Tamandua tetradactyla: one gene and its partner. The protein of the gene in region 1 purifies or fractionates together with the protein of each later gene. This does not show direct contact. Links are inferred from orthologs where the notes say so. Each region holds a gene or a part of one and is shown on either strand. Other genes may lie near its edges.

Evidence for each region. Proteins that work in one complex are often made in the same cells at the same time.
Region 2: the proteins of EN1 (region 1) and TLE1 purify together in Homo sapiens (affinity purification with western blotting; 4 studies listed by BioGRID and IntAct, with this or other methods). This does not show direct contact. The link is inferred for Tamandua tetradactyla from reciprocal best matches to the Homo sapiens genes EN1 and TLE1.

The regions. Positions count from the first base shown.
Region 1 is NC_135329.1:95,309,594-95,317,288, reverse strand, and holds the start of EN1 (homeobox protein engrailed-1), read left to right. Parts: upstream 1-4,611; coding exon 4,612-5,485; intron 5,486-7,695. UniProt on the Homo sapiens protein: Required for proper formation of the apical ectodermal ridge and correct dorsal-ventral patterning in the limb.
Region 2 is NC_135328.1:112,657,838-112,665,682, reverse strand, and holds the start of TLE1 (transducin-like enhancer protein 1), read left to right. Parts: upstream 1-4,796; 5' UTR 4,797-6,130; coding exon 6,131-6,154; intron 6,155-6,931; coding exon 6,932-7,032; intron 7,033-7,845. UniProt on the Homo sapiens protein: Transcriptional corepressor that binds to a number of transcription factors. Inhibits NF-kappa-B-regulated gene expression. Inhibits the transcriptional activation mediated by FOXA2, and by CTNNB1 and TCF family members in Wnt signaling.

The DNA of each region.
Region 1 (7,695 bases):
CACCTCCGGTCCCCATCCTGCAAAGGGAGAGAAATTTATCTCTGCCGAAAGGAAATTCAAAACTCTAGGGAAACTCATGCCGGGATGGGGAGCGAGTATTTTGTTGTTGTTGTTTTGTTTTGTTTTCAGAACAGCACACACTCAAACCTTCACACAAATACATTTCTGCATACCCTGGTAGTGGACTGACTCAGGCATACACTCTACTGTGCACAAGGACAGGCTTCCTGCCAGCGCACAAGTGCACACAGAGACACAAACACATACTTATGGACCAGTTTTCTCTCCCTGTGGCTCTAATAATATGCAAAACAGACACAAACACATGCTTCAGCCCCCACAGCCACTGGCTACTCTGACACCGTTTAGTGTTTTTTGCAAAATTGAGAAAGAGGAGAAACAAAGGAACAATGTCTCAGCCTTCACCTTGAGACTGCTCCAAATCGCTCATTGGTCTTCCTTCTATATCCTCCCTAAACTTCTCCAGCAGTCGCCAAAACTCATAGAATATACTGTTTTCACTGGTTTGCTCAGTGGAATCCCCTGCTTTGCAGCACAGAATGGAGGGGATCTGTTGGTAGGAGAGGCGACAAGGAGGTTGGGGTGTCTCAAGGTCCTGCTTAACTTTAAAGTTCTCCTTGAGTCCCCTTCTGCCTTCAAAGTGGAAGAGAAATCGCCCCCCCACACACACACACACTTGGATGCTTAAAACAAAACAAAATAAAACAAAATAATTTTCTTCTCAACATAATCCCCTATCTGAGCTGGGTATTACTTGGGGACAATCAACATTTATTTCTCAGACTTGACCCAGTTTGTGACCCTCTTTGGGACTCACTGCATGAACTGTCCTGCTCAGAGCTGCAAGGCTATGGAAATGGACAGCAGAGCGCCCTCACACTTCCTTGCCCTTGGCCCTGGAGCCAAGAGCTTTTGGAGAAAGGGGCTCTACTCCACTCCAGCAGGTTCCCCAATCCCTCCATCTGCTTCCTGCCCACCTGCCTCCCTGTCATCCTGGCCCGGGCATCTAGTAAGTTGAAGAAAATTTCCTAATTCTCAAAGGCTGAAAAAAAGTTCCGGAAAGTATGTGCACTCACTTGTGCACATACACCCCTCCACACAGCCAACCTCTTTACCCACATACATGCACAGGCAACTCACCCTGCCCATACTTTCTCACCCACACACCCAGCCCTGGGCTCGCCGGGAGTCTTCCAGACCCCTCGCACACCCGTTTCCGCCAACGTGTATTCGCTCTCAGCCCTCGCACACCTCACTCCCAGGCTTGCCAGAACACCAGATCCCGATAGTATGTTCATTTTCAGGAGGGAGAGGAGGGCGCCGGCCCGGGTGGGGGCCATGGAGAGCGAGCCCCGCGATGTGCACAGCGTTGGGTGCAGGCTGGGCCTGGGGAGGGGTGGGGGGCTCGAGGTAGCGCGCGGAGCGCCGCCTAATCCAGCCCCAGCTCGTGGGCCGCGGGTGCATTTATCATCCCATTACTGTAACAAATCCGGGCTCCACTACATGAAAGGTAAAATGAATTACCGACGTTAAGCCGTCAATAAAGTCATTTCTGTAAATGGTGTCTCCAAAGGGCCGCCGCATTATTCAGCTGGCTTTATCAGCTGGCTGGAAATTACGTGGAGGAGCCGGGCCGCGCGGCGCGCGGGGCCGCTCACTTTGATTAAGCGTCTTGCCAGCGCGATGTGACAGAGCTTTTGACCAGGGTTTTATTCACAGGCCTGTGATGAACGCCAAGCTGATCAGGCGGAATGAAGAGTAATTAAAACCTATAAATTATCTTCCGCAGCCCTTCTCGAGGCGTCTCTTGCAGGCGAGATAAGGCGTCGAGACCCTATTTACGGCACTGAAAGGGACCGCGGCGCACAAAAGCTACGCGGCTAAATAGGATATTGATAGTGTCCTAATTAGAATTTAATTAAGTACCCACGCTAGCTTGCGGGATAAAGATTTCAATTTTTCGAACTTAAATATAAATAAAATTCCACCCTCACTTCGGGGATTAGAGGAGGGGGCGCCGGGAAATTTCGGGGAGCCCTTGGGGATGGGGATGCAGAGGACTCGAGAGACCCCAAGGTGGGGTTTAGGGCGGTTGGAGAGGGGTGGAGGAGACTGCAGCTAGATGTTCGTGCTGTTCCCCCCCCCCCCCCCCCCCCCCCCCCCCCGCCCCGGGCACCGCTAAGGTCTAGCCAGGAACTTGGGAATCGGATGTGGGTGGCAGGCGGGTGAGTAGGGGGGGGCTCAGCTGACCTGAAGATGCAGGGAGCAGTGCGAATTCCCGCTCTCCACCAGCCCCTCTCAGAAACTTCGGCTACTGCGATGGTTTCGCCTTGCTGTGGTTTTCGTTTTATTTCCTTCCTAATTCCCTGGGACTTGTCTGGGAAACTGGAGAGAGGAATTATTTTGCATGCCCCAACTAGACAATATCCCTAAAGAGATCCTCTGTCGTCTCAGTTGAGGTTGGCGGTCAGAGCGAGCAGGTCCTCTGCAGCTGCACAGATGATACCCCTGCGAAGGCCTCCGTTGCCGGAAACTTGCCCTTTTCTTTTGTACATCGCAGGCTCCAGTAGCCAATCCGACCCTGGCTCTCTGAAATCGCGCGGCAGACCAGCCCGCCTGTGCCCCGGCCTCACTCCCCTATGCCCGGCTGTGGGAGAACTTTTGGGGTTGCTTCATCAGGGAAGAAACGAAGAAGAGCCCAGCGGACGGAAGATGGATCTCGGTGAGTGTGGGGGCGGCTGGAGTCCCGCAATCCCCCAAAGCTTGGGATGAACCTGTAGGGCTTGAGCCGGAGGCCCCCAAGATGTCGAGAGCAAATACAGAAAAATCAGTCACCTTGCAATGGTGTAAAACTCGCTGTCCAGTTAGCCAGGCAAACACCTGGAGGTGCAATGCTTTTATTTATTTGATTTTACAGTGCAGAGAAATCTAACATGAAGGTTGCCCTGAACCCAAAAGCCTGGGCCTCGCCCTTATTCCCGCCCTGACTCATCCAGCCCAACCGCCCTCCCGGACAACTCCGCGAAGCCTGGGCGGCCCCCACTCCCGCAGCAAGCGAAGGAACAGGCTCCGGCCAGCCCGACGCTCGGGGTCTCCCGCGCCCTCTGGGCCTGACTCAGTGGCGCCAGGGCCGTTCCGGGTGTTGTCCAAGGTCTGGACCAGCAAGGGCGTGGGTGAGGATTCCCCGGAGCGACATGCAGCGAAGCGGCTAGGCGTGCGACCGACAAACTAGCGCTGTTGGCTAGGCACCGCGGGCCTCCTGCTTTTGCTATTACTGAAAAATAAACTGTGCCTCTGAAAGTAACCAACCCTATCTAGATCTATTTCACACCAGCGACTTTCTCGTCTCAACACTCTCCCTCCAACACACAGACACACGCGCACCCCCCCCATACATACATACACACAGAGATGGGCAGTGACAACAAACAACCTTTCACCCTTTCTAACAGCAAGAAGGGAATAAACGAGAAAATAAAAGGCTAAGTTTCTTAGGCGTGAGGGTGCAAAGAGCCGAGGCCCCTGCTTCCTGACCCTGCATCCGTCTTGCACGCACCCATAATCCTGCATTTCTCCAACAAGTTGTTTTTGAAGTTGCTTCTTTATTTGCCTACACCCCCAAACCCACCCCTCCCCCTGTCTCCTCTGCCCCCTCCTTGGTCAGGGCCTAAAGGAGGGGGAGGGACTGAGGCAACAGAGGGGAGGGCTGGCCCGACGCGCGGGGCCCGCGCGGCGGCGCCCCCTCTCCGCCCGCGGCCGCCGCCCCCGGATTATTTATCCGCAAAGTCCCGCGCGCACTCATTGGGCCGCGGCCCGGGTGTCAGCGCGAGTGCCGGCTCGCCATTGGCCCCGCACACGTGCGGCCCTGACTCACGTGCTTCCGGTTAGAAGGCAAAAAGTGTGCCTGGGTGATTTTTTTTTTAAGCGAGAGTTTGTGCAAAGATCCGAGCTGTCAGAGATTTGAAAAAAAAAAAAAAAGGCAGCCCCGGCGCTGGCGGAGACGCGCTTTCCCTGCAAAAAAAGCAAAGGCGATTAAAGGCGCTGCCAGCCTCGCGCTCTGGGCACAGCTGAGCGTGACACTCGGGGAAGTCAAAGCCCTCACTACTTGCCTACGAAGATGGCTAGACTTTAAAGACTATTTTTTCCCTTTAAGAAAAAAAAAATTCCCGGAGCTTTTTTCTATCTTTCTTTTTTTTTCTTTTTGTTTTTTCTTTTCTTTCTTTCTCTCTCTTTTTTTTATTTTTTTTTTTTATTTTTTTTCTTTTCGGCCGTGGCTGACTCCCCATTTAAAAGAAATCATTGAATCTGGTTGCAGAAAGGAAAAAAGAAAAAGAAAAAAAAGACATAGCCAAGTGTCTCCATATCTGGATGTCTACAAATTAGAGGGAGGCAGAGACAGCAAGATCTATCTGCTCGATAAGAGCGAGCGATCCAGGCCAGGCGCCTGGGCTTTTTTTTTCCTGCGCCGCCCCTCGCCTTCGCTGGGGCTTCGCCTGCCTCCTTCCTCCGCGCACCCCCACGGGCCGCTGGCAAAGTGGGGTGGGGAGCGAAGCGCGGGGGGCGGGGGCCGGCGCGGCGGGGCGGCCGAGCATGGAAGAGCAGCAGCCGGAACCTAAAAGTCAGCGTGACTCGGGCCTCGGCGCGGCGGCGGCGGCGGCGGCCCCGGGCGGCCTCAGCCTGAGCCTCAGCCCCGGCGCCAGCGGTAGCAGCGGCAGCGATGGAGACAGCGGACCCGTGTCCCCGCAGCCCGCGCCCCCGTCGCCGCCCGCGGTGCCCTGCCTGCCGCCCCTGGCCCACCACCCGCACCTCCCCCCGCCTCCCCCGCCCCCGCCGCCGCCTCAGCATCTCGCGGCGCCTGCTCATCAGCCGCAGCCCGCGGCCCAACTGCACCGCACCACCAACTTTTTCATCGACAACATCCTGAGGCCGGACTTCGGCTGCAAAAAGGAGCAGCCGCCGCCGCAGCTCCTCGTGGCGGCGGCGGCCGGAGGGGGCGCGGGAGGAGGAGGCCGGGTCGAGCGTGACAGAGGCCAGACCGGAGCAGGTAGAGACCCTGTCCATTCGCTGGGCACGCGGGCGCCGGGCGCCGCCTCGCTCTTATGCACCCCGGACGCGAACTGTGGTCCGCCCGACGGCTCCCCGCCAGCCGCGGCCGGCAGCGCTGGCGCGTCCAAAACCGGGAACCCGGCGGCTGCGGCGGCGGCGGCTGCTGCAGCGGCCGTGGCGGCGGCGGCGGCGGCGGCGGCGGCAGCAGCGGCCAAGCCCCCGGACAGCAGCGGCGGCAGCGGAGGAGGCTCAGGGAGCCCCGGCGCGCAGGGCTCCAAGTACCCGGAACACGGCAACCCCGCCATCCTGCTTATGGGCTCAGCCAATGGCGGGCCCGTGGTCAAAAGTGACTCGCAGCAGCCTCTCGTATGGCCCGCCTGGGTCTACTGCACGCGCTACTCGGATCGTCCGTCCTCCGGTGAGTACCCGGCGCCGAGCTGCGTCATGCCTGCTGGCTCCGCGGATGCCCCCCCAGAACTCCCAGCCGCTTCGCTGGGCAGAACAAGCCCAGCCTCAGGCGCTCTGGTTTCTCACGCCTGCTTCCCTCTCCTCACAACCGGCCCCAATTCCATCCGGGTGAGGGCCCAGGTCTAAGTAAGTATAAGGTTTAGGGCGCGGAAGGCTCGGGTCTCCAGCCTTCGATTTTGAACTCCGAACCCCTGGGACCTTCTTTTTGTTTTACCTTTATTATTTTTTGGAAAGCTACGAAAATCACTCATTGATTTTTCCTCCAGGGAGGGAGTGTTTAGAGGTGGCAGGAAGGTAGGCCTAGTGATTTGGGTCTCAAATATAGCCATTCAGGTCCTGCGGAGACTGAAATCCAGCAAGTCTTTGACTAGAGAAATAATCTTCGCAGCGTATTCTCACAGACCCACACACCATCTCGTTATGTTCTGCGGAGAGTTCCTTTACATAGAGTTAGATCTAGAGTCACACAGGAAGAGAGAGAAATGTGTTTGAACGTCCCTCTCCCGCGTCGCCCTGGCCGAGGATCAGAGCGAATCTGACCCGGGTGGGTAGAATATCAGGGGCAGGCGATCGCTGAAGCGGTGGGTGCCGGGAGCGTTTCGCTCTTGGTTCTGTGGGGCTGACAGACAGACAGTCGGAGAAGAGAGAAGGCAGGCCAGACTCAGGCCAGAAAGCCGAGCCGAGCGCACGGAGAACCACCCTTTTCGGCAGCTTCTCTGCGGCGCGGCACCCGCATTTTCCCGCTCCTTCCTCCTGTCACTCCTTCCGTCCTTTATCTGCCATTTGGCAAATTTCCCCCAGTCGCAGGCCCATTTTTCTCGGCTTTTCTTCAGCCTTCTTTCTGTCTGTCTCTCACGCTCGGCGGACCCGAGGCCGAGGCCTGCAGAGGGACAGCCGCCGGATCCCTTCGAGAGGAGGCTGAGGCCTGCCCGCCGCCCCGCTGGCAGCTCAGGGAAAAGCAGTGGGGGCTGCCAGGAGGGTGGCAGAGGTTCTGACCCGGGATGCGGGCTCCGGGCGCCCAGGAGCCAGAGGAGGCCGGACACAGCGTAGCCACGCGTCGCTCTCCCACTGCGGGTCTCTCGCTCCTGGCCGCTGCTGGCCGGGCGCGGATCGATGCGCGCTATCAGCCCCCGCCATCTCGAGCCCCGTTATTGACACGTCCGGCTCCCTGAACCTCCGAAAAGCTGCTTTGATTGACTTGCCTGATGGATAGAGTGATTGAGCTGTCAGGCCGCGCGGCTCGGGCAGGCCGGGAGACTACGATTTTATTACAAGTGTCCGTGCCTTCTGCACGCAGACACAACAGCACTCCAACCATGCCCCGAAAGCACAATGCGCAGCGGGGCCTTTCTGGGATGTGTTCATCTCCTGGGTCACCTCTACCGGCTCCCGGAATTACTAAACGAAGGCCTCATCCCCTGCCACCGTGCCTCCAATCCTCTCTGCACTCAACTCAGGAGTGGGCCCCTTTGTTCTTGGTGGCTTTCTTTCCTATGGGCCTGGGTGCAGGGGGACTGTCTCCCTGCATGGGCACTTCAGGAACTGAGCCTTAACCAAGGCCTGAGCTACTGCTGTCTGCTAGGCCTGGACTCTTTGTTACAGGATAATTGGGGACCTCAGACCTTGGCCCATCCCAGAACCAGAAGTTGCCTTGCTTATCCACTGTAGTTAGTTTTGGAATGTGGGAGAAGACCCTTCTTTGGAGACAGCTTTAGGGCTTAATAGACCTGGCAGGGGCTTAGCTGGACCCAGGAAGCTCTGTAACCATGGCAGGGCCCAGCAAGTAAATTCCAGAAGACTCAGCGCAAAGGCCAATGAGCAGAGATGCCCGCTTTTCAGGCACAGGCCAATAGTCATATCCTCCCAGTCTACCTTCTCTCTTTTCCTCCATCCCTCCCCAAAGCAGCCCACTTCCCATCCTAGTATTTGAGAGAGACTTTATCTCCCTGGGGAGGTTTCCTGTGGTCTCTTCCCATGGAGCACGGATTTTTTTTTTTTTTTTTTTGCCAGAATTGTCCCTCTGATTCCATCCTTTTGCCCGTGTTTTGTTCATAGGTGAGGTGGGGTAGGGTGTCATTAGTGACTGTCAGGGAAAGCCTGTCTGCCTTATTTTTGTTTTGTTTTGTTTGGGAGTTTTCAATCTTGAAATCGCGGCATAAA
Region 2 (7,845 bases), on another chromosome or scaffold:
TAACAGAAACTAAGAATTCCCCAGAGGGGTTCAACAGCAGATTGGAACAGGGCAGAAGAAATCAGAGAACTTGAAGATAAGATATGTGAAGTCATTCAGTCTGAGAGGCAGTAAGAGGAAAGAATGAGGAAAAGTGAAAGATGCCTGAGGAATCTATGCGACACCCATACACATGAGGTAATCCCAGAAGGAGAAGAAAGACAAAGGGGCAGAAAGAATATTCAAAGAAATAATGGGTGAACACTTACCAAATTTAACAAAAGACATGGATATACATACCCAAGATGCTCAACGAACTCCAAACAGGATGAACCCAAATAGACCCACGCTGCAGCATATTATAATGAAACGGTTCACTGGCAAAGATAAAGAGAGAATTCTGAAAGCTACCAGAGAAAATTGGCAGGCCATGTATGAGGGAGCCTCAGTAAGATTAAGTGCTGATTTCTCATTGGAAACCATGGAGGCAAGAAGGCAGTGGGATGGCATATTTAGAGTACTAACAACAAAAAATTGCCACCTAAGAATTCTATATCTGGCGAAAGTGTCTTTTTAAAATGCAGGAGAGATTAAGACATTCCCTGTAAACAAAAGCTGAGGGAGTTGTCAGCACTAGACCAGAATTACAAGAGATGCTCAAGAGAGCTCTGGAGGTTGAAAGGAAAGGACAATAGACAATAGGTCACAGCTGCTGAAGCGATAAAGCTCACCAGGGAGGGTAACAACCGGGTAAAGATAAATGCCAGTGCTCTTGTATTTTTGGTTGGTAATTCCACTTTTTACTTGCTAAAGGATTTAAAAGGCAAAGGTAAAAATGTAATGAGATATCAGTGGTTTTGGACTCATAATATATAAACATGTAATTTGTGAGAAGAATTACATAAAGGTGGGGGACGGTATATACTATGGCATCGAAGCAAATGAGATTGTTATAGATTTAGGATGTTAAATTTTGTGGTGAGTACAAAAAAAAATCAGAGAATATGTAAACAGAGAGACAGAAATTAGAGTGCAAGTGGCCAGGGGTGGAGGATAGAGGGATTGGAGATTTAAAGTATAACGGGTATAGGGATTCTGTTTTGGGAGACAGGAAAGTTTTAACACAGGAAGGTGGTGAAGGTACCACAATACTGCAAACGTGATTAATCTCATTGAATGATATGTATGGGAGGGGTTGGGATGGGAAATTTTATGTTGCATATATGTCTCCACAATTAAAAAAAAAAAAAAAGACAGATCAACTAAAGACACAATGACAAATGCAATACACGATCCTGGATGGAATCAAACAAGCAAAGAGAAAAAACTCATAGGATATTTTCAGGACATATGAAAAAATTACAATATAGAGTCTAAGCTTTAAATCAGTGTTAATTTCTTGAACATGATAACTGCACTCAAGGTGGTTATGTAAGTGAATATCCTTGTTTTAAGGAAATGTACATGGCAGTATTAAGTGGTAAGGGAACATGATGTATACAAACCTATACTCAAGAGTTCATAAAATGGATTGGACAGAAAGATGCAGAGAGGGGACAGAGGAGGGAAAAACAATGACGTGGCAAATGTGACAAAATGTTCAAATTGGTGGACCTGAGTTCTCTGTATGAGGTTTATATTATTTTTGTAACTGTCCTGTACGTTTGAAAGTATTTCAAATAAGTTTTAAAAAAAAATTGCCGGCAATCTTTCTGTTTCTTTTGCAGAGGATAAACAGGGTACTGCTTTTACTTCAGGGACAATTTCCTATGGAAGCAGCACACTTAATATTATTTCTTGTAAAAACATCATCAACATACGATTATGTTGAAGGTAAAGAAGATTATGGTTAACGTACTTCAAATAGATGACTAAAATTATAGATTTCATGAGTAGGACTGTTTTCTTTTAAACAGGCTGTAGGCAATCTGCACATATATGATTTATTTAAAACAGAAGATTAAGGCTACTTGATTGTTTAAACACCATCATTTATAATGCAGTTTGATGAGAGTTTTGTAGTATAATTATTACAGCATGGCAATCAGGGAGAAAATATGACCTTGAAAAGGGCAGAGCTTTCTCCCTCTCTCAAGGAGGATGCTCTGTATGAGACAGAAGCCATCGAAATGAAAAAATATTCATGCAATTAAAGGCTTTCCAATTTTAAATTCAGTATATTCATTCTTTTCTCCACATACTACATTATAAGGAAATCAGAAGGTAGTAAGGAAGCACTGGTCAAAAGAGAAATCCTCAATTTTTACCAAGGCCAAACTGGGAAAGGTGGCAACCACATACGTGTTCTGTGAAGAGCTGTATGACAGAATATTTAAAGTCAGTGTGTTAAAACTGATTTTGAACGGGGTGGGTGGGAAGAGAAGTAGCAACACTTTTGCTACTGCCCCAAAACATGTCATTTTAATGTCTCTGCTTATACTTAATTGCTAGTGTTTACCAGTAAGTTAAGATACCCATCAGGCAAAGCTGGGTAAGTAAGCCAGGGAGATGTCTCAGACTGCTATAGCTGTCCCAGAGTCCACAGGCATTTCTGTGGCACAAAAGAACTTTCTACCCAGTCCTCAGATTATGAGATGAAGTCATCACAGACTGGCCCATGTGGCCCAGCCAGAAAATAGATGAAGATTTCAAAGAACACAGGTTGCCCAAGGACAAAGCTTAGTTCCACATGGATCATATAATTTTAAAAAGTCCTGTATGTGGAGCAAACCTGCCGCTGTCATCACCAAATTAACCACGGAAAGAGAGGCAGTGCTTCTCTTTCATTCTCCAGGTTAGCAAAAGAATAATATAGTCTCCTTCCCAAATTTAATGAGAGCACTGCAAAGTATACTGCCAAATTTAAGAATTTACTACTGCCTTGCATATTGAATAAAACTACTCTATTTTTCACTTGTAATTGATAATTGGGATTGATGCAATTATAGAGAAATCAATGTCATACATATTTTAAAACAATTGCAACTGTGAACTGTATTACTTAAAATGATTCTTTCAATATTTCAGGAAGAAGTTTTCTGTAAAAGCAAATCTTTGAATGAAATACATTTATGTATGTGCTTTCCCATATGTCTCTTAAAAGTAAAATAACATGGGGCTGGCCACGGTAGCTCAGCAGGCAGAGTTGTTGCCTCCCACACCGGAGACCCGGGTTCGATTCCCGATGCCTGCCCATACAAAAAATCAAAGTAAAATAATGGGGATGTAGAAGTTATTGATACCAAAAATATGTTTACTAGGTTCCAATGTTAAGAGAAATGCTTGTCATGTAGGTCCCAATACACACAGTTTCCACGGGTCACATGGAAATAGCTTAACCGTACTGTTCAAAGTATACATTTTCTATGTGATCTATTTAGAGAGACAAAAACTGGGGACTCTTTATTTTACTTACACATTGAGTCCCGTTTATTTAAAAATCTCAAAAATCCCTTTTAACTCAAGTTTCGCTGCGTAAGAATTTTAGCCTCGTCCTTTACCCACGTCTTCCCCTCTGGCTCCGAACACAGATCAGCCCTGGGGTACCATCCAAATTATGGGGGTGGGGATGGAGGTGGGTGGGACAGGTTTTTCAGGTCTCAATGCTGGTTTATTTCATTGTCTCCCTTTGTTCCCAGGAATTGGAAACAGACTCGTGGTCATGTGGCTGCGAGACTCCTAAAACTACGATTTTTTTTCCCCCTCATCACAGCAAAGCCAGGACTTTGAAGACAAGGACCCGAGATTTCGCGCCCCGGGCAGAGTATCGCATCTGCGCTTTGGTACACTCCTGCCTTACCTAGGCATACCTTTGAGAATCCCTCCCGCCAAACGAAGGCAGGCCGACCCTTTGGCAAAGCGATTTGATACCCGCCAATAAAAAACGAATCCTACCACCTTGGGCAAAACGTGGTGGGCACCATGGTGATGTCTTAAGGGCTGGCCTACGCACGCAATGCGTTGACCATTAGGCAGTTTCCACCAGGGCACAGTCCATTCCTTCTCATGCGTTGCTGAAAAGGTAGTCTAGGAAAAAAACAAACCTCAGAGAAATTTTTGAATATGACCTCACATTCCAAAAGGGTAGCATCAAACAAGAGGCTAGCACCGAAAGACGCATTTTAACTCAAAACTACCAAAGCAGCACCCCAATAAGCAACGCGACTAGTTCTTGAGTTACTTTCGTCAAGATCTGAGGATTTTCATAAAAGAAAAAGTGAACAAGTGGCAGCATTTTTGCAAACTGAACAAGTGGCAGCATTTTTGCAAACTCGAACCCCAGTTCGGCGGCAGCAAGCTCGCGAGTCCCCCAGCCCCCCCCCCCCCACCCCGCTCGCGCGCTAAGGCGCGCTCCCTAGGCAGCCCCACGTTACTTTGATTGACAGCTGAGCCCCGCTGCTCTCCTTCCCACCGACCTTCCCATCCTCCGTGCCAATCTCTGAGTCTCGCCGCTTTTCATTGGCTGGCTTCGGCGTCCGAGGCTCCTCCAGGAACACTTCCTCACCAAGCCTGAGAGGACGCGGCTGGGTGGAGGAGGGGTGGTGGCAGGGGAGACAAGGGAGACGGCGGAGATGGAAGCAAGTGGGATGGGAGGGATGAAGGAAGGGACAGCCTGGCTGGCCTTGCGCTGCCATAGGCTCTGGGGGAGCCGCGCGTCAGTACCCCACGTTGGGCACGGCGCGCGCGATTGGCTGACGCGGGCCTTTCTGCTGCCCGAGCCCCGCCCGAGCCCACGTCCCCCGTCGGCTCTGCGCTCGCGACCCCGCCCGTACGGGGCTGGGCGGGGCCGGCTCTGGTTAGCTCCGGAGTGTGAAACCGCGTGTTAATGTAACCGGCGCGAGAGGCGCGGGCGGCGGCGGCGGGACCGGCGGCTGCAGGAACAGCAGTGGCGGATACCCCGTGCCTCGCGCCCCCCAGGCGACCGACTGCGCCACCTCCACCCCCTAAGAAGCCAGGCGAGATCTCCGCCACCAGCCGGGACCTCCGCCACCAGCCCGGACCTCCGCCGACCGGTGGTGACCAAAGCTCCACTGGCCACCGGTGCCGCGACTACTCCGGACTCGCCCGCGGAGTTTTTCCGCCGGGGAGGAGGCTGGGCGGTGGAGTGCATGCCTGCTATTCTCCCCATTCTCTCGTGGATGTCGTCCCTGGGGTCGTGAGAGAACTTTGCAGCGGGCTGGAGCGCCCTTTGCGGAGAGGCAAACGAAGGGAAGGGGAGGACCGAGGAAAGGGCTTCGAAGAAGGGTCCGGAGTGGCTAGTCCGGCCCTTCGGGGCGATCTCGCGCGGGGCGCAGTGCCCTGATGCTTCGTGGGCCCGAGGAGCCGTGGGTGGTTGCGGGGCTGCACTCCACGGAATAGCCCCGTCGGGCCAGGAGGGTTTGTGCAACCGCGGAGGACACCGAGTGCTGGTTGCACGGGGCGTGCCGAGCTGCCTCCCGGCGCGCCCTCCGCACTTTCTCCGCCTCGGCGTCATCCCGTGTTTCCCAGCCCGGGCTGAGGCTGCGCATCGCCGGGCGCGGAGCCTCCGCGGCGATCCGATCCTAGCTGTCCGCGGTCCCCTGGGAGCCCGCGAACGCCCGGCCAAAGGCCCTATAGTTGCCGGGTTTGTGTGGGGTTAACCGGAGGCGCCGCTCCACCTGCACCTCCTCACCCGCCGCCGCCGCTGCGGGGAAAATCCGGAGAGAGGCGGACTGGAGAAAAGCAAAGAAAAGCAGCCCGCCTGGATTTGTTAGCTCGGGACCGGCGCTGCGCACGCTGATCGCCGAGGGGAGCGCGGCGGGAGTCAGTACGCCCTCACCTCCCCGCCCCGGCGGCCGAGGCCCGCCGGTTGGAGCGCAGCCCCCGCGCCCTCTCCCAGGGCGCTGGCGTCGTCGCGCAATTTCTTGGAACAGCTGAGCCCTGGGCGCCCCACGATGTGGCCCTGAGCGCGGGAGCCCGCAGCGGCGGGAGTAGGAGTAACCGCGGGCGCGGAGCGGCGGTGCGCCCCTCTGAGCGCGCCTGCGTGCGTGGTCATCGCCCCCCACCCTTCCGCCCCCTGCGCGCCCCGCTTCTGCTTGGCTTCCTGGCTTAATTTTCCTCGGTGGGATTAAAGTTGGAAATTGAGCGAAGAATTGAGTTGCCCAGGAACAGAGCCGCGGCCTCCGCCAGAGCTATGTTCCCGCAGAGCCGGCACCCGGTGAGGAGCGGCCCAGTGTGTGTGTGTGTGGGGGGGGTCAGGGTGCTGTTTCCCGAGCAGTAGGGAGACGGGCGGCTGCCAGGTCTCCTCACCCCCAGGGGTGCAAAACTGGGGAGGTCCAGAGCCCTGGTTCCCCGGGGTGCAGAGTGGCCTGAAACTCCGGATCCCCCCCCCCTTTTCTTTCGGCCCCCTCCTATTTGACGTCTAGACTGGGTGGAAGGGGGCGCCGGGGGAGGCTAGGGTTTCTGTCCTGGCAGGCACATTCTCCCCAGTCCCCGAGCCCGGGGGGGGCGCCCCCCCTTTTGTTTCTTGTCTCGCTTATTTGCATGTCAATGCGGCCCCCGTTCCGGCGCTCCTGGAGGTGGCCCCGGCGACTCTGGGAACTGAGAACGTAAAGGGAGTTGTTTTTCTTCTCCGGCCCCGGGAGTCATTATCGCCCCTGAGGGGGAGGGGGAAGGCGACGACAACAATCTGGTCTGGTCCTACCCGGTCTTCTGGGAGCTGCCCCTCCCTCCGGCCGGGTGATGTGGGCACACTTAATTACGACCCGCCCTGGAAGCGGTTCCTAGCCTCTTTAGAAGCTGGGGACTGGGGGAGTGTCCTTCTCTCCCCTTCCCAGAGTGAAACGGAGAGGCGAGTTCGGGGCTTCAGTATCCGCCTCTTCTAACTTTATTTTTTGTTTATGTCCCACCCACTTCTCCCTTTTCTGACTTACTGCTTTATGTGTACATCCACCCGCACCCCCAATTCTCGGTGCCCCTCGCTTGTCGCCCCCAGACGCCGCACCAGGCTGCAGGCCAGCCCTTCAAGTTCACTATCCCGGAGTCCCTGGACAGGATCAAGGAAGAATTCCAGTTCCTACAGGCGCAGTATCACAGGTGCGTGTCGGCGGTGGCGGGAGAGTGGTTGTCAGGGCATTGGTCTCTGGTGGCCGCATGCCCCTCTGCCCAGCCGGATGGCGGCGGCTGTACTTAGTACTTGCGTCCAGGCGGTGGCGTGTGGAGTTGCAGTTAAGACCTGTCATTTCAAGTTCCCCTCTTTCTTGGCTCTTCCCGGGCCTCCTCTTCTTCTCTTGTCTCCTCCTCCTCCCATTGTTTCCCTTTTACCCTTTTGCTGCTGTTCCAAAGAATCCTTTTTCGTGTATTTGGGAGTTGCATAAGAACCGTCAATATTTGCACTTAACTTATTTATTTTGCAACAGGCTAGGCCTGAAACATTGATTCAGTCGATGCCTCAGCCCTGGAGTGTGGGTTCCTGGAGGCAAAACCAGTGTTGAAATCACTGTTTGCCATACTTGGGAATTAGGTTGTCTGAGGCAAAGTCCATAGTGGAAGGCTGGCATTTGGCTCTACCCATCATTAGTGTAGTGTGTAGGAGAAAGCACACCTGCTTTGATATCATTCTGGGTAGTTTAGGATAAAGCATGTAATTGGAGTCAATTTTATATACATCTCAGCCTTAGTTTCTTCATCTAAGGACACCTACCTCCCAATTCAAAGGATTTATAAATGAAAATTATTTGCATGGTTCCTGGCCCATTGTAGATTTTCCAGAAATGTTGCTCCTGTTGAAATTAGATGAGGCTAAGTGGTTTGGGCATCAATTTTCTTATTTTTCTGGGGTTTTCTTGTTTTTGACCTATTGTCTACTTGCAGGTGGTATCTCTAGAGCTTGAAGCATACCTGCACACA